Linked DNA regions of Elephas maximus indicus. The protein of the gene in region 2 purifies or fractionates together with the protein of the main gene of each other region. This does not show direct contact. Links are inferred from orthologs where the notes say so. Each region holds a gene or a part of one and is shown on either strand. Other genes may lie near its edges.

Region 1 (7,119 bases), on a different chromosome or scaffold from region 2:
AGAGGCTCACATTTGCTCGCCTTTAGGAGGCAGCCATGTCCTCACTACACAGAGGAAAACTGGATAAACAAGGCTGAGCGCAGCAGCTCCTTTGTTTCTGCTGATGGGAATTGATACTGACACTGGGAAGCCAAATGGAAGGAAGAACCAGACTGGCTGAGGGCTGCAAAGTCAAGAGCAAGGAGGCTGGAAGTGGACTGGGGGAATGGATGAGAGAAGTTCTGTAAAAGCTTTTGGGAGTTAAGTGGCATTTCAGAAGGTGGGCAAACTGCTGTGGTGGGTAAGAGGGCTGGAAACGAAGCATGTGAAGGGGGAAGTCTGATGAGGACTGAGCAAGGGAGGAGATAGAGCTTAAGAACTCGAGGCTGCTGTAGCAAGAAATTCCAATCAAATATTATTCTCCAGATCTTGTTAAAACCAGTCAGCAGCCACAGCTATTTTATGCTACTATCTTACCACCAGATGCCCCCTGAAAGCCCTATGGGGCAGTTCTACTCTGTCCTACAGGGTCATCATGAGTCAGAACTGACTCGACGACAATGGGTTTGGTTTCACCCTGGAAGGAGCCCTGGCAGTGCAGTGGTTAAAGCACTTGGCTGATAACTGAAAGGTCGGCAGATCAAACGCACAAGCTGCTCTGCAGAAGAAAGATATGGCGGTCTGCTTCCATGAAGACTGCAGCCTTAGAACCCCATGAGGCAGTTCTACTCTGTTCTACAGGGTCGCTATGAGTCAGAATTGACTTGATGGCAATCAGTTTTTATCTTACTCTGGTAAGACCCCTTAGAGATGGTTTCACTTCTGACCCCATATTTGGGAGGGACAGAGAATTTACTAATTGAAGAACTCTTCTCCCAGGACAAGATGTAAGCCAGGAAATAAGAAGTCCTGACCTCAAGGTATAACCTCAGCTGTCAGAAGACAGGCATACCACAATCAAGAGAAGCACCAGAAAAGCAGCTCTTTCCAGGGTGAGAATGGTACAGGCAGAATGGATGCCCCTTCTGAAAGAGAGAGTTCTGCCTGGAATGTATCAAGTGTGGTCCAGAGTCCTCTGCAGCTAGAACTAAGGAGGACATAGGTGGTTCCTCATTATTGGTACTCAGCAACCAGGGGCTGGTGACCCTCACAATCTCCTCAGTTCTTTAAAGAGAAATAAAAAGTCACGTTGTATTTAAAATGGGCAAGGCACCCCTTACCAACTACCTGCTATTTCCCTGAAGAAAGTCTTCTAGCATGAAGACCCTCATTACTTATAACTCTTAAAACCTAGGCAAGCCTGACATTTCCTCAGTACAGTAAGGTTCTCTAGGTGGCAGCCTTGATTCTTTCTCAGGGATGCGTTAAACCAGTAGAAAACCTCCCCTCACAATAGGATGGGGGGAGTTAACCATGGGAAGAGCAGGGGAAACAAAGAACATTTGAGTCAGGAAAGATAACTATAGAAATGGTAGATCAACATTGTCATTCCCAAATTGAGGAAAATGTCAGCCTGAGAAGACGGCAGAGGGGAAACTGGAGTGGGCAGATCAGAGAGGAAGATAATGGTGCTGGGAGGAGGGGCGGCTGAAAGAGGCAGCAGGATAGAGCAGAAAGCTAGTTAAAAAAAAAAAAAAAAACCCACAAGAGAAGGCACTTAGCTTAATGCAAGCGGGAAAGCATTCTCACAGAAAAGGCTCCAGGCAGGGGGAAGACGCAATGTACCCTTATAGAAGGCTCTGGGGAAGAGCAGGACTCAATGACAGATGAGAAGCTGTGAAGCCCTTAGAATAGTCCCCCAACCTTCGCCTTTTCACCAGCCAAAACCTAAAGCCCTGGCTGGACAGCTACCTCTTAATCTTCCTCTGCCTGCACCAAGCCCGTTAAAAAAAACTTGCCCTACTGGCCCACAAGAGAGCCCTGGTGGCGCAATGGTTAAGCGCTGGGCTACTAAGTGAAAGGTTGAAAGGTTGATGCTTCGAACCTACCCAACCTGGCGATCTGCTCCCCTAAAGATTACAGGTTACAGCCTAGAAAACCTTATGTGGCAGTTTTACTCTGTCACATGGGGTCGCTATGAGTGGGAATCGACTGGACTGGTACCTAACAACGACACTGGCCCACGGGGTATTAAGCCATCTCAAAACTCACTCGAATCCTTCTTCTGGGAGGAGCTGCGGTCAAACCAAGTCCCAAAGCATCTTTAAATTCACAGGAAGCAACTAACAGGCCATTCTCCGTTTTTCCGACACCTCTAACTCTGAACTCTGCCTGAAATCCGCCCAGCACAGCGGTATCGTCTAGGACCAGGAATGCAGACCTAGACGTCCCTCCAGGATACATGAAGTTGTCGGGACTGCTTCCGTTCAGTCCCCGATGTTTTGACGGCCGGGACAGGCCGGCACAAAGGCCCGCTCCTCTTAAGCGCTTTCTCTTCCGGAGCTGCTTCTCCACAGATTCCTCCCAAGGAGAGCTGGAGTCTGGGGTCCCTGACAGCGCGCCCCCCGCCGTCCCGGGCGGCTGGGACACTGGGCCCCGCAGCCCTTCCCCGCACAGGCTCCGAGCCTGTTGCTCCGGGCCGGCTGCGGGGAAACGGTCGGCCCCGCTCCTCCGACTGAGGCGTCTCGGGAGGGGACCCGGGATGGCGTGTCTTCCGCAGGCGGCAAGGGCGCCATACTCGGGGTGTCGCAGGTCCTGAGGGAGCGCTCAGGCCACCAACCTCGCAGGGAGGGCCGTTGGGGGCTCCCGCCTGCCCCCTCCGGGCCTCCACAAGTTTCCAAAGAAGCGCAACGTCTCCTCCGGAGCCTCCTGTTGCCCTCCCCGCTAGGAGTCGCACCACGGCCTTCCCGGGCCTGGCTCTGCCTTCGCCTCGTTCCCTTCCCGCACCGCCCCCACTCCCAGGCCTCTCACAAGACCTCCCGGGCTCGCAGAGAAAGAAAGGACCACTCACAGCTTCACTACATTTTCCACCACGGCCGCCATCTTCCCTGCTCCTCTCCCTCAGGCCGGGAGGCCCCGGAGCCCGCAGCGCGCAGGCGCCGGGGCCGCGCCAGGGAGTGCGTTTCCTCGTCCCTCTGCGCAGGCGCCGCCCGGGCGCGCGCGCTCGAGAGCGAGCGCTGGAAAGTAACCTCCGTGCCCGTTAGCGGGCGTCGGGCAGGAAAGGTGTGAGGGAGCCAAAGGCAGCCCGACGCGCAGGCGCGACCGGGGACGGGCGCGCGCCCCGCTGCACCTGTTCTAGTCCCGCCTCTTCCATTTGGAGGAGCGGGAGGAGGGAGGAAGGATCTGCCCCACACAGAAATGAGAAGGCAAAAATGTTGGCGAGAACAGCCAGTGTTCCAGGGATGGTCTGGTGGGAGCGCATGCGTCTTTAACCACGTGGTTAACCCTTGTGCCTTTACTCATAGATGGGGATTGGTGGTATGGAAGGTGAGAGTGGTGCACAGCCCACTTGTGCCCATTTTAGGGAAAGGAAAGGAAGGGGAAGGGAGGGCGACAAAAGTTACCTCATCTTCCTGCCACCAAACCTACCCACCGAACTGCACTGAATACGTGGATATGGGAACCAAGGAGTGGAAGTGGGAGGTGCAGCCTCTGGCATTCTCAACTAATGGACCCTTTTGCAAAATGTTTTCTGTTTCTGCATCTCTGGGCTGGGCTCTGTCTGGTTTAGAGCCTTCAGGATCCAAGGAGCCCCTGGGTGGCATGAATGGTTGAGTGCCACTACTAGCTGAAAGGTTGGCGATTCAAACCCACCCGGAGGCACCTAGAAAGTCAGGCCTGACGATCTGCTTCCAAAAGGTCACAGCCTTGAAAACCCTATGGAGCAGTTCTCTGCACACATGGGTTGCCATAGTGGGAATCAACTCCAGGGCAACTAACAGGACCCAAGGAAGGAATGCGTCCACCCGGGGCTGGGGAGCACAATAAGGATCTTTTTAAATTAGTAGCCAAGACTGTCAAGAAGGAGCCCTGGTGGTGCAGTGGTTAAGTGCTGGGCTGCTAACCCAAAGGTTGGTAGTTCAAACCCACCAGCCACTCCTCAAGAGAAAGATGTGGCAGTCTGCTTCTGTAAAGATTACAGCTTTGGAAACCCTAGGCACAGTTTGCCCTGCGGGCATTTGCTAATCTGGAAGCTATGACTGTGAAATTTAGCTACTGGTTGGCAGTCTTTGGGGACAGGGACAAAAATCAAAACGCAGAGTCTGTCCAAGGTAGGAAATCAGATCCCCGGCCCCCTCCTAGACACACACACACTAAGTTGGGACTCCAACTTCCTCGGACTTGCAGCCCTGATCAGGCTACCTGGGTGGTCCAAAATGAGGTCTGGGACACATCTCCTTGTAAAGAACCCTGACCAGCCAAGATACTGGCTGAAAGCCAACGGAACATGTTCTGGGCCATGAAGGAGGGGAGTTATTCATACCAGCTACAGCTTCCTTGTAGAAAAAGTCTGTAGCTTCTACGTGTGTTTTTTTCTCGCTGTGTCAAATATATTTTTTATGTATTTTCATCCTCCATTCACTCTTGTACATAGGGTATGTTGGTGGTAAGGAACTTTAGAATTACTTAACCGTTGCGCCACCAGGGCTCCTTAGGGTGCATGTATAAGGAACCCTGTTGGCACAATGGTTCAGTGGTCAGTGGTTTGAACCCACTCATCTGGTCCATGGAAGAAAGACCTGGCAATCTGCTTCCATAAAGATTACAGCCTAGGAAACCCTGTGGGACAGTTCAACTTGGTCACATGGGGTCACTCTGAGTGGGAAATCGACTCAATAGTACCTAACAACATTTGTATGTATTTTAAGAGTAAACACTAATATAAGACATGCATGGAAGTTGAATATCCATAACAGTAGACCCTTAGAAACACTGGTAATTTTTCTGGCTGTCCAACAACTTTTCTTCCTATTTTGGGGACACGGTACCTGAACCCCATTATAAAAGCTGAAGAGGTACAGTCCCTTTTCTCCCTACCCCTGGCTACCTTGGAGTAAGCTGGTAGTCCAAGTTCAGTCAGGTGCTTCAGGTCCCCTCCCTAGTTCTTTATCCACCCCATGTCACAGCCCTAAGTGGTTCCCGGGGTCCTTTGGCTGGTGCCTGATGTAAGGTGGATCGAGAGAGGTCCAGGGGGACCCAGCACAGAAATGTCCTCCTTCTGTGGCTACTCTGGCCTCAGCTCAGCTCCAGGGTGAGGTGGTGCCTTCAGGGTGGGTGCAGCAATAAGGAAGTGTCTCTTTTTCTTGTCTTTCCCTTCCAAGGCAGAAGAGAACAAACGCCCAAGCACTGAGGAGGAGCTTGCAGGCAAGAAGGTGCTGGGCCTTCAGCTCCCTAACCCTTTGCCTTCACAAACTTTACCAGGGCACTGAGGTACCAGAGTAAATGATGGTGAGGAACTGCTATGTGACAGAAATAGCACTGACCTTGGAGTCTGACTATGTGAGACTGAGTTTTAACTTCTGTAAAATGGAGCTAAAGATACCCACCTCACAGGGTTATTGAGAAAATTAGAGATCACTGTTCCAAAATGGTTGTGGTGTGTGACTTGGGGCTCCAGAAAGGCAGGACTCTGATGTTGGAAAAGTGGTTCAAATCACCTTAGAGCAGTTTTGCTTGCAAGGCTGAAGCTGAGGCAATGGGGGAGCTCCCAAAGGATTTGAAGCAGGAAAGAACAGTCAGACTAGGTTTCAAAAAGGCACCACCCAGGCCAGTGAAGAGCGGCCCGGAGATCACAGAATCACATCTGATCACCTTTATGTGCCCTGACACCACGGCACTGGTCCCAGCTGTTTTCTTCATCACACTGTTTTCTTCATAGCATCCACCATTGTTGGAAATCATCTTACCTGTTTACAAACGTTATCAACCTCCTCCCACGCTGGAATGTCAGCTCCAAGAGAGCAGGGATCTAGTCTGTCTTGTACCCCAGCACCTGGAGCCACACCTGGCACATGGTGGATGCTCAGTAAACAGCTGTGGCTCCAGCTGATGGGCAACACGGCCAGGTCTGTCCCCCACTCCTGCATGCTCCCCAGCCCCCTGATGCCAGAGAATCTCCCTGAGAGTCCCCTGTACAGCCTTTGTGCTTCGTCTTACCCTTGGGTCTCCTCCAACAGACCCTGGCTGCCTGGGCACGACCAGCCCCAAGCCCAGCCCACACCAGCCAGCACCCAACCAATGTGGGAACGGCCACAGTTGGTCACTTGGTCTGTTCCTGCTCCATCCTCACTACAGCCAGGGCCTAATCCCCACAAAGGCCTCTCGGACTGGGGTCCCCTGCAGGGTGAGTTCGCAGTGCAGACAGTGGCCCAGCTTCAGGAGGAAACCTAAGACAAACGGGACAAGGCATGGGAAGACAGCCACCAGCAGCACCAAGTTTTATTACAACCAGAATCCCCCAGTCATGTGGAAGGGGACTAAGCAGGACACCTTCAGTCACTGCTGTGATGCCCCCGGACTAAGATGTGAAGCCAAAGGTCCCAAACCTCCACCTGGCTGAGCCCTGCCTTCCTCACCCCCACCTCCCCCCACCAGTCAGGACACCCCACTGGACTGAGCAGAAAGGAGGTGAGAAGGGGAGTTCTCTTCAGCACAGCCTTTACCCAAGGAGTCTGAGGAGAGGAAGAGCCATTGTCGGGGGGTTCAGGGCTGTTTGGGCCGGCGCCTCTTGCCCATGTCCTTGGTGGGCTGTTAGGGGGAAGCCATGTGGGCACTCTGCCCATGGATGAGGATGGAGGGAGAGAAACAAAGGCTCAAAGTGAGAAACCACGGCCACCACCAAACAGGTGGGACCTGGGGTCTGCCTCCTAGGCCAGGGCTGTGTCCACACACTGCCCTGAATCTGCCCGGCCTGGCTGCAGGTGCTACGTGGGGATCTGTACGCGGTCCAGGTCCTGGTCCTGGTCCATGATCTGGAGCACATCATCCAGGATGGAGGGCCCCAGGTCCACGTGCAGGGAGAGCAGGGAGCTGGCATGGGACAGGAAGGGCTCCTCTGCCCCGGACTGGGGGGTCAGCCCGTTGCGGGCAGGGCCAGCCTCTGGAGTCCTCCAGATGTCCACGTCCCCTGCCTCCTGCGGGGAGGGCTGGGAGGAGGGTTGAGGGGTCTCCAGGTGCAGCCGAGGGGGTTTGGGTGGGGCC
Region 2 (7,612 bases):
ACTTACTCTGCTTTCCCCAAAAGAAGTCAGCAAGGTCATTGGTGAGATTGGTGGATAAAGGGAATATACATAATAAGGTGCTCGAGTTGGGACTTCTTTCTCATGTTAGATTGACCCTGGGTGTTAGTTTTGTTTTTAACCTGCCGCAAATCAGATCAGCCTGGATCTTTATGTTATGTTATGTTTGATTCTATTTTGGGGGAAGGTGGTGGTGAGTGTAATTCTGTTTTACATTGGTACAAAGTAAACTCGTTGACTTATACCTAAGGGTATTTCTTCATAGCTACTCTTTCTTGTGAAAAAAAGCCTTATTCAAAACTACCATTTCTCAAATTGTGTTTCTTACCATTATTCTGAAATGTGAATTCACTGAAATTGTTTAAGACTTTCGAATGGGTGAAAAGCAGTCGTTGAGCTCTCTCCAAGCCTGCTGCGTTCTGGGTTGCTCCTTTGGGATTCTAGGTCCTTGGCAGGCACAATTTTACCGCGAAGAGCTGTTTAGTGCCACTCAGGCTCCATTCCACTTTTCTCCCTGCAGCTCCAGTTCGTATTTTACAGCTCCCGCCTGGGAGCTGGTAACATAATGAATTGCCTTGACTCTCCCTTCAATCCACTTTCCTCTCTTAATATGCAGCCCAAAGTTTTGCAGCTCGCTGTCAGATGGTAGTGCTAGACTTCCACACTGATCCCAAAGCCTCCGTTTGGGCTGTTTCTTAACACGCAGTTAAAAACTTTAAGAAACAGCTCCAGAAGGAAATCCACGCCAGGCTTTGAACTCTGCTTCTGGCTTCCGTCAACTGACAGAGTTGCCCTTTTGCTCAAACTCGCAGCTCCAGTTTGCACTCGGGAGAGCTCCACTGGGTGTCTGCTGCTTTGCCGCGGCGGGAACGTGTGTGTGGGGGCCACAGTCCGGCGCTCCAGAACCTAACCAAACCCGCACCGGACTCCCTAGGTTTAAAAGCTCTCCCTCCCGAAGGATTGGGGGAAGGAAGGAGGCTTGAGGAGCACAGCCCGATCTTTTGTTCGTTGTTTTGTATTTCAGGCATTTAGGGGAAGCAAACTGTGAGAGAGGAAGGGCTGTCGCCCCGTGCAAACGTTTCCTTCTCTTAGCAAACCCTCCAGGCCTCGTTTCCACATTTTACAGTTGACTGGGTGGATTTTAATAGGTTGTTCCCGGCCCCAATCCACGCACACTGTGCAGCCGGGTAAAATGAGAGCACATCCTCTGCCATTTTCAGCCGGTTTGTACTGGCAGCCCTGCCCCCCTTCCTGGGCTGCCGCAGCCGCTTTAGTTAATGTTGTGCGTTTAGAAACTCCGTCGGATCGTCCAGGCCGTAGATCCAGTCCACATTTGCCAAGTGCCGTGCGGTCGGGATGGTGATAAGAACTCTCTTGTGAGGCAGAGCGAGCGAGACTTTAGTCCGGTTTCCATGTCAACGATTCAGTCCATATTTGCCATCAGGCTGTTGGTGGCAGAGGCGCTTTCGTGAGGGTAGCGCTGTCCTAGTCCTCGTTTTCCAATCTGCGCCGGGATTCCTGAGCTGCCTGGGTGTGGGGTTAAATGGCAGGGGCCGTAGGGGAGAAAACTCCACCGTGGGGAGGACCCACAGCCCTGAGCCGGGGTCTCGCAGCTCGGGCCAGCCACGTGCCCGGCTCCTCCCCTCCCCCCCGTTCCCGCTCCTCTCGCTCCTAGGGAGAGCTGATGGGCCAGTTTCTAAGAAAGTTCTGTTCTGTCCGGCAGTTGCTGGGACGGTGGCGTGGGGCTCTAATGGTAGAAGTGGAAGAGGACCCTAAAAGATTTAAGGTTAAACAAAAGAAGGTGGGAAAGGAGAAATCGCACGTTACCTCACCCAACTCAGGTGGATAAATTTTGTGCACTTAAAAATAAAAAGGGTGGCTGTTTCCAAAACTGCCCACGTGTGGGGAGATGGGTTTTGGTTCTTTCCGTATTTCACAGAAATTGAAGAAAAGATGAGGTCTTCCTATGAAGACGAATCAGTTCTGGCTTCCAGGTTTTCACAGGTTTCCCATTATATCCCAGCTCTGAGGAAAACGGCAGGGTAATTGCACGTAAAAAATTCCTCATTTGTGTGCAAGACCCGGGACTGTTTGCCAGCTCAGTGGCAGTTGATTAAATAACCCAGCTCCACTTTATGAGGCAGCCTATAATTTGGTTTCTAGGACCTGATTCACGAGGAGAGTTGTTGCCCCTCTGTACTGTGAGTGAAACGGGGCACTGGCCCATTCCAGCCAGCCAGATCCTTTTGGTAGGCTGTTTTGGTTCTTGGCTTGGGGAGGTGGTGGAAGGCAGTGGTTTCGTTTTTTTGGATTTGCCCACTCTTAGATTAACAGGAAGGTTTTGCCTTTCTCGTGTAGGATCCTCTAGGTTAGTTTTGTTGGAGGTGGATATGAGTTCAGGCTTTTGTAATTAGTATGTGTCCAGTGAGTGGCCAGAACTCTAGGGAACTGCAGAATCTGGAAGGATATTGGTCTGTGGCCAGGAGATCTCCACTTAGAAAATCTGAGGGAAAAAGAGGCCCTGGTGTGTAAGGAAGACGCTGGCTTGGGCCTCCCAAGGCAGTCGTTGACCTGGTGAGGAGCTGGAATCCCCTCTGGCTCTCCTAGTCTGTCATATCAGAACGTTCCCAGTCAGCTTGAGGAAAAGGCTGCTGCTGGGACACCACCGTTGGAATTTTATATGTATGCCTTTATATTTTCAGAGAACCTGGTCTTATACCCAACTCCAACTAAATTGGGGTCTTAGAATGTATAGGTAAACTTTAAAGATTCTTTATACTGGTGGGGCGGCTAGACAACAAATCTGGGTTGCATCCACTTTCTGCATGACCTGTTAGGCTGTGCCTACGCTCTTTACAGAGAAAATGGTTTCTATCCTTTGGCCATCCCTCTTCTGCAATGGCTTGAACGCTCACATTTCTCTGGTACCCACTGGGAGTCTCTTCCGTGGGCTGTCTAGTCTTAACGTGTGCTGCCTTTGGAGGCTGGGGCTATTGGTTATTGTGGCCCAGACTTTCTTCGGAAGCGACCATAGGGCTTTGGTTCTACTGCTGGGAGTCTGACTGCCATATGCCCCACGGGAACTTCAGTGGCAAGCATTTTAAGTCAACGGTGAGCTGACCAGCTTTGATCTTAAATCCATTCTGATATTCTGATCCCATTGTTGGATTTGCTCACTACTTGACAGTTTTTTTTTTTTTTTTAAGGCTAAGTAGACATGTGGCAGCCTTGGAGACTCCACTTGCTTTTAAAGCCACCCTCCTCTGCCCTCTGACTTTAAGTGACCCAGGGCAGGTCCCCTCCCCTCTCGGTCTTTCAATTCTGTAAAATGGGGATAATCCGGACCCCATGCCCCTAGGGCCTTGTCAGGTCGGGCTAATGAGGGCAGGGAAGTGGGAAAGCGGAAAGTCTGAACAATAATCAGTCATTTCTTTCGGCTTGCAAAGAGAGTAAACTGCAGAGCCTCGTTCGCTCACTCAGCCGGGTCTTTAGAGCAGGTTTGTAAAGGGCTTTGAAGAAAAGTGCTGTAGAGGTGCTAAGTAGCAGCCAAGAGACCAGGCCCGCTGCCAGGGAGTCAAGCCTGGGCCGAGGCGGCCGCGGTCTCGGGCTCAGGCCAATTTTGCAGCCGCGGGTAAAGTTCACGCTGCCCGCTGCTCCCCTCCGTGCGGCCGGGGTACCCGCCAGGATAGGAACTCCGGGAGGGAGGCGGCGCAGGCTCCGGAGAGGCTGGAGCTCCAGGCCGGGTTTTCCCTGAAGCCTTCGGCGGCAGCGCTGCCGAGCGAAAGCGGCAGAGAGCCTGCCGCTGCCGCCACGGCTAGTTCTCTTCCCCTCCTCCTTTGTGAGGGGAAGAGAGCGAGTCCGCTCCGCGGCCTGCGCCCGCTCCGTGCTCCATTCCGGGTTTGCCAGGCGGCCGCGACGGTGCTGGGTAAAATGGCAGTGCTGAGCCTCGTGTCGGAGTGAGGGGGACTCGGAGGAGAGTGGGGCGCTCTAGCCGTTCAGTCGGGCCGTCCGCCTGCTCGCCCGCCCGCTGCCGCGCAGCAGCCTTGGCCACAGCCGCGGCCGGGGAGGGGAGGCAGGGCGTCCGGCCCGGCCAGCGCTCCGACTCTGCCTCCCGGCGCCCGGGCTGCTGCCGCGCGCCCTCCAGCCCGCCCGTCCCGGGTCCCCCTCCCCCCGCTCCCTCCCTCCCCGCCCCCTCCCCCTCGCCTCCCTCCCTCCCTCCCTCCTCCTTTCTCCGGCAGCAGAAAGCGGAGAGTCACAGCGGGGCCAGGCCCTGGGGAGCGAAGCCTCCACCGCCCCCCTCATTCCCAGGCAAGGGCTTGGGGGGAATGAGCCGGGAGAGCCGGGTCCCGAGCCTCCAGAGCCGGGAGCAGCTGAGCCGCCGGCGCCTCGGCCGCCGCCGCCTCCTCCTCCTCCGCCGCCGCCAGCCCGGAGCCTGAGCCGGCGGGGCGGGGGGGAGAGGAGCGAGCGAGCGAGCGCAGCGCAGCAGCGGAGCCCCGCGAGGCCCGCCCGGGCGGGTGGGGAGGGCAGCCCGGGGGACTCGGCCCCGGGGCGGGGTGGGAGGGGGGGAGAAGACGAAGACAGGGCCGGGTCTCTCCGCGGACGAGACAGCGGGGATCATGGCCGCGCAGGTCGCCCCCGCCGCCGCCAGCAGCCTGGGTAACCCGCCGCCGCCGCCCTCGGAGCTGAAGAAAGCGGAGCAGCAGCAGCGGGAGGAGGCGGGGGGCGAGGCGGCAGCGGCCGAGCGCGGGGAAATGAAGGCAGCGGCCGGGCAGGAGAGCGAGGGCCCCGCTGTGGGGCCGCCGCAGCCGCTGGGAAAGGAGCTGCAGGACGGGGCCGAGAGCAATGGGGGTGGCGGCGGCGGTGCCGGCAGCGGCGGGCCCGGCGCGGAGCCGGACCTGAAGAACTCGAACGGGAACGCGGGCCCTAGGCCCGCCCTGAACAATAACCTCACGGAGCCGCCCGGCGGCGGCGGCGGCGGCAGCAGCGACGGGGTGGGGGCGCCTCCTCACTCGGCCGCGGCCGCCTTGCCGCCCCCAGCCTACGGCTTCGGGCAGCCCTACGGTCGGAGTCAGTCCGCCGTCGCCGCCGCCGCCGTCTTCCACCAACAACATGGCGGACAACAAAGCCCTGGCCTGGCAGCGCTGCAGAGCGGCGGCGGCGGCGGGGGCCTGGAGCCCTACGCGGGGCCCCAGCAGAACTCGCACGACCATGGCTTCCCCAACCACCAGTACAACTCCTACTACCCCAACCGCAGCGCCTACCCCCCGCCCCCCCAGGCCTACGCGCTGAGCTCCCCGAGAGGCGGCACTCCGGGCCCCGGCGCGGCGGCGGCCGCCGGCTCCAAGCCGCCTCCCTCCTCCAGCGCCTCGGCCTCCTCGTCGTCTTCGTCCTTCGCTCAGCAGCGCTTCGGGGCCATGGGGGGAGGCGGCCCATCAGCGGCCGGCGGGGGAACCCCCCAGCCTACCGCCACCCCCACCCTCAACCAACTGCTCACGTCGCCCAGCTCGGCCCGGGGCTACCAGGGCTACCCCGGGGGCGACTACGGCGGCGGGCCCCAGGACGGGAGCGCCGGCAAGGGCCCGGCGGACATGGCCTCCCAGTGCTGGGGGGCCGCGGCGGCGGCGGCGGCGGCGGCCGCCTCGGGAGGGGCCCAACAAAGGAGCCACCACGCGCCCATGAGCCCAGGGAGCAGCGGCGGCGGGGGGCAGCCGCTCACCCGGACCCCGCAGGTACACAGCTGAGTGGGGAGGGGGCTGGGGCAAGCAGGGTCCTGGGGGTGGGTGGCGGCAGCGGGGAGCTGGCCACAGCCGTGGGCTCTCCCCAGTCCGGGGCCCCCGTTGCTGGGGAGCTGCCATTGTCTGGCTCTTCTCTCTTAAAATGGCTGCCTGTCTGCCTTCCTCTCTTTCCCTCGTTCAGTCTTTGTGTGGGGCTTTCCCAGAGGTGTCTGCTCCTCTTCTCCTTCTTTTCTGGTCCCTGCGAACTCCGGGGATCTTCAGGGGGTTGCGGAGCAAAGTGTGCGGGGGAAGGGCCCGGCCTGGGGTGAGGGGGTGCTGGGGGCTCAGGTTAGGGGTGTAGTTGGTGGCAGGGGCTCGCGAGTTGAACAAACAGTTCTTTGCTCACCTGCCGCTTTTCTCTGACCCCCTGGCTTCCTCTAGGCTGTTGCCCATCTGTGCTTTTAAAGAGGGGCCCCTCGGACTCGTGGGGACCTCGAGGGAGGGCAGGGGCCTGCTTGGGGGCAGGTAGAGGCCGGCTGCGGTTCACCCAGGGCAGCCTGGGCCGTGTTCTGTCTTAGTCTCCTTCGGCCCAGTGGCCTGGGCTTCTCCCTGGAAGTGCTGGTAAACAGCTGAGTGATTGGAGTAGTAAGTGCAGATTGCTTTGGTTTGGGATTTGAATTATGGAGGTAAAATCCTTCTGTCAAAGCCAGGAGACAGTTGGTCTTAGGTTGACATCCTATCTGTGATCTGATTGGCTCCCCATCTCCTGCTCTTGGCCATTTATAATTGCCTCTGATGTAATGGTACAACAATCCTGATGAGCTCATAAACTTTTACACTCTGCTTTTCTGCCAGTGATAACCCAAACCATCGCTGCCACTATCTGTCTTTTATTCCAGAGCTGAAATTGGCTGTGACCTTGAGGAGGGAGGTTTAAGCAGCAATACTGTATCAGCAAGAGCAGAGCCTCAGACAGGCTGCCCTTGTTACATTGTGCCAGAAACAAAAGAGGAGGCAATGGCATTTTGCTTGTACCTTGGATTTATTTTGCTTGTTATGTTTTATGCAGCCTGAAATAGATTCTGTGTTGTTAGAACAGTAGCTGAGTTTTTCTCTACAATGGGTTTGCTGTTTGTTTTGGTTTTGTGACTTTCCCGATGGTATAAATGACTTCTTTGATGGCTCTGAAGATGCATTTGTCTTAGAGTAATTTTGACTCTGTTCGCTTCGAAGAATTGAAATTATTTTACTTAGCTTTTTATTGAGTGGTGAATGTGGGATCTTTTTGGGGGGGAGGGTGGAAGAAAACTTTTATTTTTATTTTTTGGAGAACTGGAAGGTTTCTGAGAATTTCATATTAGGTTCAAGTGTTCTGTTTTAAGGAAGGCGGGCCCTATTCTTTGTTTACATGTTGAATCTTGTTAACGCTTTCTTTTGTTAATTGAACTTTGGGTGAGCAGCTCAGTTTAAAGGGAAGGGACTATCTGTCTTTCATGATTGTGAGAGGGACTTTCTCCTAAAATTCGTGGTTTGGTAAAATTTTTCGTTTACTCTTGGAATATCAAAAGGCTGGCTTTTTATTTTGCCATCAATCATTTTAGAGCTCAGCCAATTTTTTCTTTGCATTCTAAGGTATGTTCCTTTTTTTTCGGTCTTCTAGTTTTTTAGTATACAAAGAGATGACCTACAGTGATGCTTAAAGATTTGGTTAGATATTACAACTTCTAGTTACCTTTTTATACATTCTATTTTATTTTGCTCTTTTTCGGTCTTCATAATGCTTTGTTTTTAAGGCTTTGGTCAGGAATATAGGGTACTCTGTGGACCCATGTGTCTTTTCAAAGAGGGGCAAAACTCCCTTCACACACCCTCCTCCCCCA
Region 3 (7,513 bases), on a different chromosome or scaffold from region 2:
ACATTTTTCTCAATACTTTATTAAATTAAATAGTTCCGTTCCAATCTCTCTGTAGATGCAACAGGATCAAGACGGAAAGGTTATGGGAAAGCCCTTTCTCTAGACTGGAAGGCCTCAATAAAAGTTGTTGAAACGGATCTCCAAAAAGTGGGCAGTGAGCAGACTAAGTATGGAGGGAAGAAGGGGAAGAGAGAAAAAGGCATTCCTTGCTGAGGGAACAAAGGCATGGAATGATGCCTCCATGACTGCAATGTCTAATAACGAGCTGCATAATTAAGTCCTATGAGGGTGGGTGTGTCTCTTCCCCCATCTCTATCTATTCTTTAGCCTTAACTCAGTGCTTTTTTCACAAGATCTTGAATTGTCCTGAGGTGAGACAGCAGATTCCATTTGCCTATTAGGTAACCACTAATAGCATCTCCTTCAAACCAAAGGGCTCCAGGAAACCTTGTCTGATTAATCAGGACCTACTAATCAACTTATTTTTCTCTGATTCCGGATGACACTAGCTTGAACACTATTTATTTGCAAGTAATAACAGACTCAGCTACCAACAAGAGGTAATAAATTTTGCGTAGTGGTTAAGTGCCTAGGTTGTGGATGCTAGAGCATTTATATGACATTCTGGCAAAGGCAACGCTACAGAGACAAATCAGATCAGTGGTTGCCAAGGGCTGCGGATGGGGATAGGGGACTCTATTGCCCTCAAAGGGATATGAAGGAACTTGCAATGATGGAAATGTCATTTATCTTGATTGTGATGGTAGTTATATGACTGTACTCATTTCTTCAAACTTAAAAAAACTACACCTAAAAAGGTTGATCTTACCATGTGTAAATTTTGCATGTGAAAGTTGAACAATGAATAAGGAAGACCAAGGAAGAATTGATGCCTTTGAATTATGGTGTTGTGAAGAATATTGAATATACCATGGATTGCCAGAAGAACGAACAAGTCTGTCTTGGAAGAAGTACGGCCAGAATGTTCCTTAGAAACAAGGATGGCAAGACTTCATCTTCATACTTTTGACATGTTATCAAGAGGGAACTGTTCCTGGAAAAGGACATTATGCTTGGTAAAGCGAGGGTTAGCAAAAAAGAGGAAGACCGTCTACCTGATGAATTGACACGGTGGCTGCAATAGTGGGCTCAAACATAGCAACGATTGTGAGGATGGCGCAGGATGAGGCAGTGTTTTGTTCTTTTGAACACAGACAGGGTCACTATGAACTGGAACCAACTCGATGGCACCTGACAACAACAACACATCATATATAGTATGTATCTCATATACATTGTAAGGATTAAAAAGGTAATATGTGCAGGCACATGGTAAATGCTTAACAAATGTTAGCTATTTTTTTATTTTCAGAATTGACTTGACAGCAACAGGTTTGGTTTTGGGTTATTTTCTGCCTACCCTACGGGAAATCTTTCTTAATCTCTATCATGCCTTAGATATCGGTATTTTCCCCCTAATATCTTGAAGATATTTTCATCACAATAATTAAGTTATTCTTGACATTATCTGTTTATCATTCTCTCCCACTACACTCATAGCTCATTTATTCATTCCTAAATATGAGTTGAATAGGTTACAACAGTGATGAAGAGAGGCACAGTTCCTGCCTTCACAGAGTTTATATTTTAGTGGGGGAACCAGATCAGACAGTAAGCTAACCAAAAAACCCATTGCTGTTGAACTGATTCTGACTCATAGCAACCCTACAGGACAGCAGAACTGCCCCATAGGGTTTCCAAGGCTGTAATCTTTATGGAAGCAGACTGCCACATCTTTCTCCCGTGGGTTCTAACTACCAACCTTTCGGCAAGCAGCTGAAATCACTATGCCACCAGGGCTACTTGACAATAAATTGCGTACACATAAGTAAGTAATTACATATTGTGATAATCACTTGACAGGAAGTAAAGGAAGTAAGGGAGACAGTGGAAAAGCTAGAATGAGCTGGGGGCAGAAGGCTCTGAGGCGGGAAGGGGCTTGCAGTTTGAAAAACTGCAGGGAGACCATCTTCTTGTTGGCCCTTAGAAAGCCAATGGCTGAGATTTAAAATGTGCCAAAGAGGTAAGCAAGTGCCATGTCCTTGTAGAACACTTATATGTCATGAAAGGGAGGGTGACATTCAATCTAACAGCAATGATGAGCTGGGAAGGATATTAAACGAGGGATTAGTAGGGTCTGGTTTACACTGAACTGTTTTATCTGTTTTTAAGTGCACATACTAGCAGCCTCTTTTCCAAAGCAGTAGTTCTCTAGAAGGGGGGTTGTATCAGAAATAACTGGAAGGCTTATTCTTAAAATACAGTACAGGGAGTCCCCCCTTCCTTACTGGATTTGAAGAAGGGGGCTGGTAGGAATATTCTTGGAACAGCTCCCCTGGCGATTTTGATTCTCTACCACCCCTACCACTTCCTTGAGAACTCCTGCTGAAGGAGCTTAGAAGGGTTGAAATGGATGTTAACTGCCTTATCATGACCTCTTTACCCATCTTACAGGTGAGGGGAAGAGACCACTGCTCAATGAATGTAACAATTCTGGTGACCTGTCCCTAGACTGCCAAAGCCCTGGCGATGCAGTGTTTCAGCACAGTGGTTCAGCCTGGCTGCTAACTGAAAGGCTGGTGGTTCGAACCCACCTGTCGCTCCGTGAGAGAGATGTGGCAGTCTGTTTCCATAAAGACTTACAGCCTTGGAAACCCACTGGCGTAGTTCTACTCTGTCTTTATGGTTGCTATGAGTCAGAATCAATTTGACAGCGATGAGCTTTTTTTGGTCCCTAGACTGGCAGGTAAACTGACTTTTGAGGAGGAAGAGGAAACTGAGAGGACCAAGAGGTAGCAAAGCAGCAGCAATAGCAGGGTTTATCACTGGAAGAAAGATACAAGGAGGTACATATCAGGAAAACTAATTTCTAAAAAGGACTGGAGGGCTGTGCTATAAACAAGCTCTAGGGTGCTATGGTACAAGGAGGTAAGCAATCACTTGCTTGGGGATGAAAACATAAAGCAGAGGATTAGGGCCAAATAGGCCAAACAGTCTTTTACTTTGGCCACTCAAAGTGTGGTCTGAGTAGCAACAGCATCGCTTGAGAATTTGTTAGAAATACAGAATCTTGGGCCCCACTCCAGACCTTGTTGTTGTTAGATGCCATCAAGTTGATTTTGACTTATGGCAACCCCATGTGACAGAGTAGAACTGCTCCATAGGGTTTCCTAGGCTGTAATTTTTAGGCGTCAGGAGAAAGATGTGGCAGTCAGCTTCCCTAAAGATTAAAACCAAAAACCAAACCCATTGCTGACCAGTCAATCCAGACTCATAGTGACCCTACAGGACAGAGTAGAACTGCCCCATAAGGTTTCCAAGGAGCAGCTGGTGGATTTGAACTGCTGACCTTCTGGTTAGCAGCTGAGCCCTTAACCACTGCACCACCAAGGCTCCTCTCTAAAGATTACAGCCTTGGAAACCCTACGGGGCAATTCTACACTGTCCTATATGGTGGCTATAAGTCGGAATCGACTGGACAGCAATGGATTTGGGTTTTTGGTTAATCTTTACAGGAGCAGATTGCCAGGTCCCTCTCCCAGAGCCACTGAGTAAGTTCAAACCACCAACCTTTCAGGTAGCAGCCAAGTACTTAAAACTGTTGCACCATCAGGGCTATTGAATCATAATCAACATTTTTAATGTGAGCCTTAGGTGTCCTGTATGCTCATAAAAGCTTGTGAAGCACTGGTCTGTATTAGGGGAGGAGACCTCAGATCACCTAAGGTAAGCTACCTGGATTTTTGAAAAATGAAGTGCTATAACTACTGGAGAAACACCTTATTTAACTGCAGGGAGATTTTTCATAGTCCAAATTTTCTTCACCTAGAAAAACTTCATGTGAAGTCAAGTACTGGGCTTCCTTAAAGTGAGGCAAAGCCATGTTAAAAATGCACGAGAAGAATTTAGCAATTAGCCAAGTCGACCCTTAACACAGCTGGGTCGGGTCTGGAACCGCTGATGTCCTTTGGCAGCTCTGAGCCACCAGGAAGAGCTTTATAAGAAAGCCGAGTTGGCAGCTGTTCTGCCCCAGAGAGCAGCCCTTATTTGTCTTTAATGCTGAAAATGTAAAAAGGATATCTGACAAAACTACGTAAAGTCTGGCGGCTACACCAGAGAGAGAGCAGCAACTACCCCAGTCAGTGTGGCGGCCCCATGTAACCTTCGACTTCTGACCCCGAGCCTTGCTTGGCGTTTCCGGGCTAAGCTTCCTCTCCCGCCCCTCCGGCGAAGGGCCGGCCCTAGCATTGTGGGCGGGGCCTGGGGGGGGCCGGCAGTTAGGGGCGGTGCCTGCTAGGGGCGGGTCTCGCGAGGGGCGGGATTTGAGGAGGCATCCTAGCATTGGGCAGCTAGAGGTAGGCGGGGCCTACTGCAGGGCTGGGTTGGGCGGGGCAGGGAGCTAGTTGCAGCCTCTGGGTAAGCTGGGCGCCGGCGGCTCAACTTGCCGCGGCTCGGGGGCGGCGGGCGGGCGCGTAGCAGATCCCGGATCCGGAATTTGCACGACAGGAGCGGAATCAGGATTGGCCCTAGCCCAAACCGGGTCAGTGAGCAACTCCCGAACTTGGATTAGGAAATCCCGGAACCCGGATCAGCAAACCCCAGAACTCGGATTGGCAGAACCCGGAATTTAGATCGGAAAGTCCCGGAGCACGGAGCACGGACCGGATTCGTCGCGAAGCCCGGAGTCCGGATCGCGACACCGCCGGACGGGACGGAGCGATGTCGGGTCGTGGCGCGGGCGGGTTCCCGCTGCCCCCGCTGAGCCCCGGCGGCAGCGCCGTGGCCGCGGCCCTGGGGGCGCCACCTCCCCCCGCGGGACCCGGCATGCTGCCCGGACCGGCGCTCAGGGGACCAGGGCCGGCTGGAGGCGTGGGGGGCCCCGCGGCCGCCGCCTTCCGCCCCATGGGGCCCGCGGGGCCCGCAGCGCCGTACCAGGTAAGGCGGTGGCTGGGCGGGCGGAGCCGCGAGGGCGCCCCGGGCAGGGACAGAGCGGGCGCGCGGGTAGAGGCCCTGGGAGTGCCTCCTGGGCAGAGGGCATAGTCCCTGCACGGGGTCTCATGGGATATGTGGAAGACAAAACCAGGGACCCTCAGGGTGCAGCCGGGAGGTGGTGGAGGAGTTGGGGGAAAAGGGTAAGAGGGTCTCTGGGGTGGAGGGTTTGAAGCAGTTCGGAGGGTCTGGGGGTCCCGTGGGGGCTGGGATTCTGAGTGAGATATAGGAGTCGTAGGAGCTAGTGAATGTGTGGCTCTGAGAAATCTGGCGTAGATCCTGGGTTGGGGTCCTGGGAAGTGACGAGAAAGTTTTGGAAAAGGGGAGCCTCAAGGGCCCTCACTGAGAAATCAGGGTTTTGCTGCATTGACCTCGTCCCACCCCAAGTCTACCCTGGTTTTTCTAGTCCGGAACTGGGAGAGTTTAGCATGCCCTGTCCTGTTGGCTGGCTGCGTTCTTAGATGGCTCCCAGCTGCTTAAGAGGAAGAAGAGCCTGGCTTCCCAGAGCGTGGGAGGCTGAGGACAGAGCAAGGGGATTCCACTTAATGGGGTGACTGAGTTAGAGCAGAGACCGTGGTGGTCAGGCTGAGGAAGAAAAGCCTAGCCCCGTGACAGACCGTTCCGGCCGTTCTCTTCTTGGCTTTGTGCCTGTTGTCATAGTGTCCAGGAGTTGATTAGTCTGGAGGAGCAGGGAAGCTCCACTGAGCCCTGCTGGTCTGGGGTGGAAGGAGCTGGGAGAGTCACTTCGAAGGACCCTACTGTCCTGACCCCTTTGGAGTTTGTGAGGAGAGCTCCAAAGGCTTTGAGAGGCACAGACTGGATCCTCAGGGTCAGTGTGTGAGGAACTCTGCCTGACCCTGCTGGTGGGACTCAACAGTCCCCTTGTCCCGTCCGTTGTTTCAGGTGGCCCCAGAATGCTTGAGAATTGTCCGTCCTTTTTACCCCTTCTCCATTTTCATTTAGCCTTAAGGGTCTCATACCACCATATCCCAGCCCGTGTGCCCCAGCATTTGGCACAGGCTTCTTACTAATCTCCCAAGGTCTACACTGGGACTTCCTTTGACCCCTCCTCATGTCACCTGGGAGAGGTCCTGGAAGTGGTCCCTCATGGGGTAGGATGTGTGCAGAGCCGTCACTTTCTAAAGAAATAGTTAACGGGGGACAGTGATTTTTTTTTTTCCTCTTATGCTCTGTCTCTTTCTCTCCTCTCCCAAAAGAAAACAGAAGGTGTGAATATGGACAGAGATTGACCTGGCCCCAAGGCCTCCAGCTGGAGTCCATCTTTCCCACCTTGCCCTCCCCTTTGGGGATTCATGGGCCCAAGTGTCCCTGAGGGGTCTCCACATGGACCATTATAGCCCTTGGGCCTGTTAGCTGAGACCTGGACTGTGAGTCTCTCTGTGAGCCTTAGGCCTGGGGAGACCTGAAATCGGAGAGGAGACTGTTCAGCTCCCTTGGCATGCACCCCATGGGAAATGTGCCCTTAGGAAAGCCCCTTCTAGGATTGATCCCACAAGGTTTTGTGGGGAGTGGCCGTGGTACTGCAGCAAGGCCGAGGTGGCTGGCCGAGTGGCCTGGGCTTTATGGTGGGGAACTAGGGGAAGGCACCGACCCTCTGCTTCCCAAGGCTTCCCATCCCATCCGTAGATGTGGAGAGGGAGAATCCAGCTCACTTTGGTGAGTTTGGAAGTAGGAGGATCTGCTTGCCCTCTTTCTAAGGGGGGTGGTTTGACTCCCGGATCTGAGGAGCAAGAGCAGTTCCTGTCTATGAGGGCTCGTTAGGTGAGGTGGAAGAGCAGACATTCGAGGGCCTGAGCTAGGCAAATTAGGGGAGCCAACGGAAAAGAGGGGCGTGATGAACCAGCTCCCTCTAGACACTGGTTCGAACAGTCAGCGGAGGAGCTTCAAAACACCAGAAAATCAGAAGTGCACACATACGCGTATGCTCCCACCTGTGCACGCACGCAGGCACCACGAATTGCTGGGTTTATTCTGGAGAATTTAGAATACTTGCTGCTCATGGGGAATATGTTCTCCTCTAACTGAGGCCCAGCCACCAGGAGTGTCGGGGCCACAGGCTTGGGGCAGTGAAGAACGTGCTCTCTTGAGGTCTGGATTCCTCAGCTGGAGGCCCACAGCATCAGGCCCAGCCTTCTGCCCCTGCTGTCCTGGTGGTGGTGGTGGTGGTGGTGGAGCCAAGCTTACAATATGGCCTGTGCTGGGCCAAAGAGGGGAGGTTACTGCATGCTTCTGAGGGTCAGGGGACTGAGTCAAGCCCACCTAGCTGGGCTGCAGGCTGCATAATCTGGAATGCCAAGAGCTGAGAGTTCTGGGCTTTTTTTTTTTTTTTTTTTAATTCCTGGGTTATTTTTTTGAAGGGGGAGGAGTTACTGATGCTTCAAAGGCTAGCTGTGGAGCTTGGCAGGGCCAAGCTGGGGCTTCATGAACTGTGAGCTGCCTTCCC

The links.
Region 1: the proteins of ARID1A (region 2) and DPF2 purify together in Homo sapiens (affinity purification with mass spectrometry; 6 studies listed by BioGRID and IntAct, counting the BioPlex papers as one, with this or other methods). This does not show direct contact. The link is inferred for Elephas maximus indicus from reciprocal best matches to the Homo sapiens genes ARID1A and DPF2.
Region 3: the proteins of ARID1A (region 2) and SMARCD2 purify together in Homo sapiens (affinity purification with mass spectrometry; 7 studies listed by BioGRID and IntAct, with this or other methods). This does not show direct contact. The link is inferred for Elephas maximus indicus from reciprocal best matches to the Homo sapiens genes ARID1A and SMARCD2.

Annotation. Positions count from the first base shown.
Region 1 is NC_064825.1:128,496,135-128,503,253, reverse strand, and holds the start of DPF2 (zinc finger protein ubi-d4), read right to left. Parts: upstream 3,039-7,119; 5' UTR 2,962-3,038; coding exon 2,930-2,961; intron 1-2,929. Other genes in the region: CDC42EP2 (cdc42 effector protein 2), read right to left, coding at 6,843-7,119. UniProt on the Homo sapiens protein: Plays an active role in transcriptional regulation by binding modified histones H3 and H4. Is a negative regulator of myeloid differentiation of hematopoietic progenitor cells. Might also have a role in the development and maturation of lymphoid cells.
Region 2 is NC_064821.1:67,143,599-67,151,210, forward strand, and holds the start of ARID1A (AT-rich interactive domain-containing protein 1A), read left to right. Parts: upstream 1-4,583; 5' UTR 4,584-4,634; coding exon 4,635-5,747; intron 5,748-7,612. UniProt on the Homo sapiens protein: Involved in transcriptional activation and repression of select genes by chromatin remodeling (alteration of DNA-nucleosome topology).
Region 3 is NC_064837.1:55,038,705-55,046,217, reverse strand, and holds the start of SMARCD2 (SWI/SNF-related matrix-associated actin-dependent regulator of chromatin subfamily D member 2), read left to right. Parts: upstream 1-4,475; 5' UTR 4,476-4,779; coding exon 4,780-4,995; intron 4,996-7,513. UniProt on the Homo sapiens protein: Involved in transcriptional activation and repression of select genes by chromatin remodeling (alteration of DNA-nucleosome topology).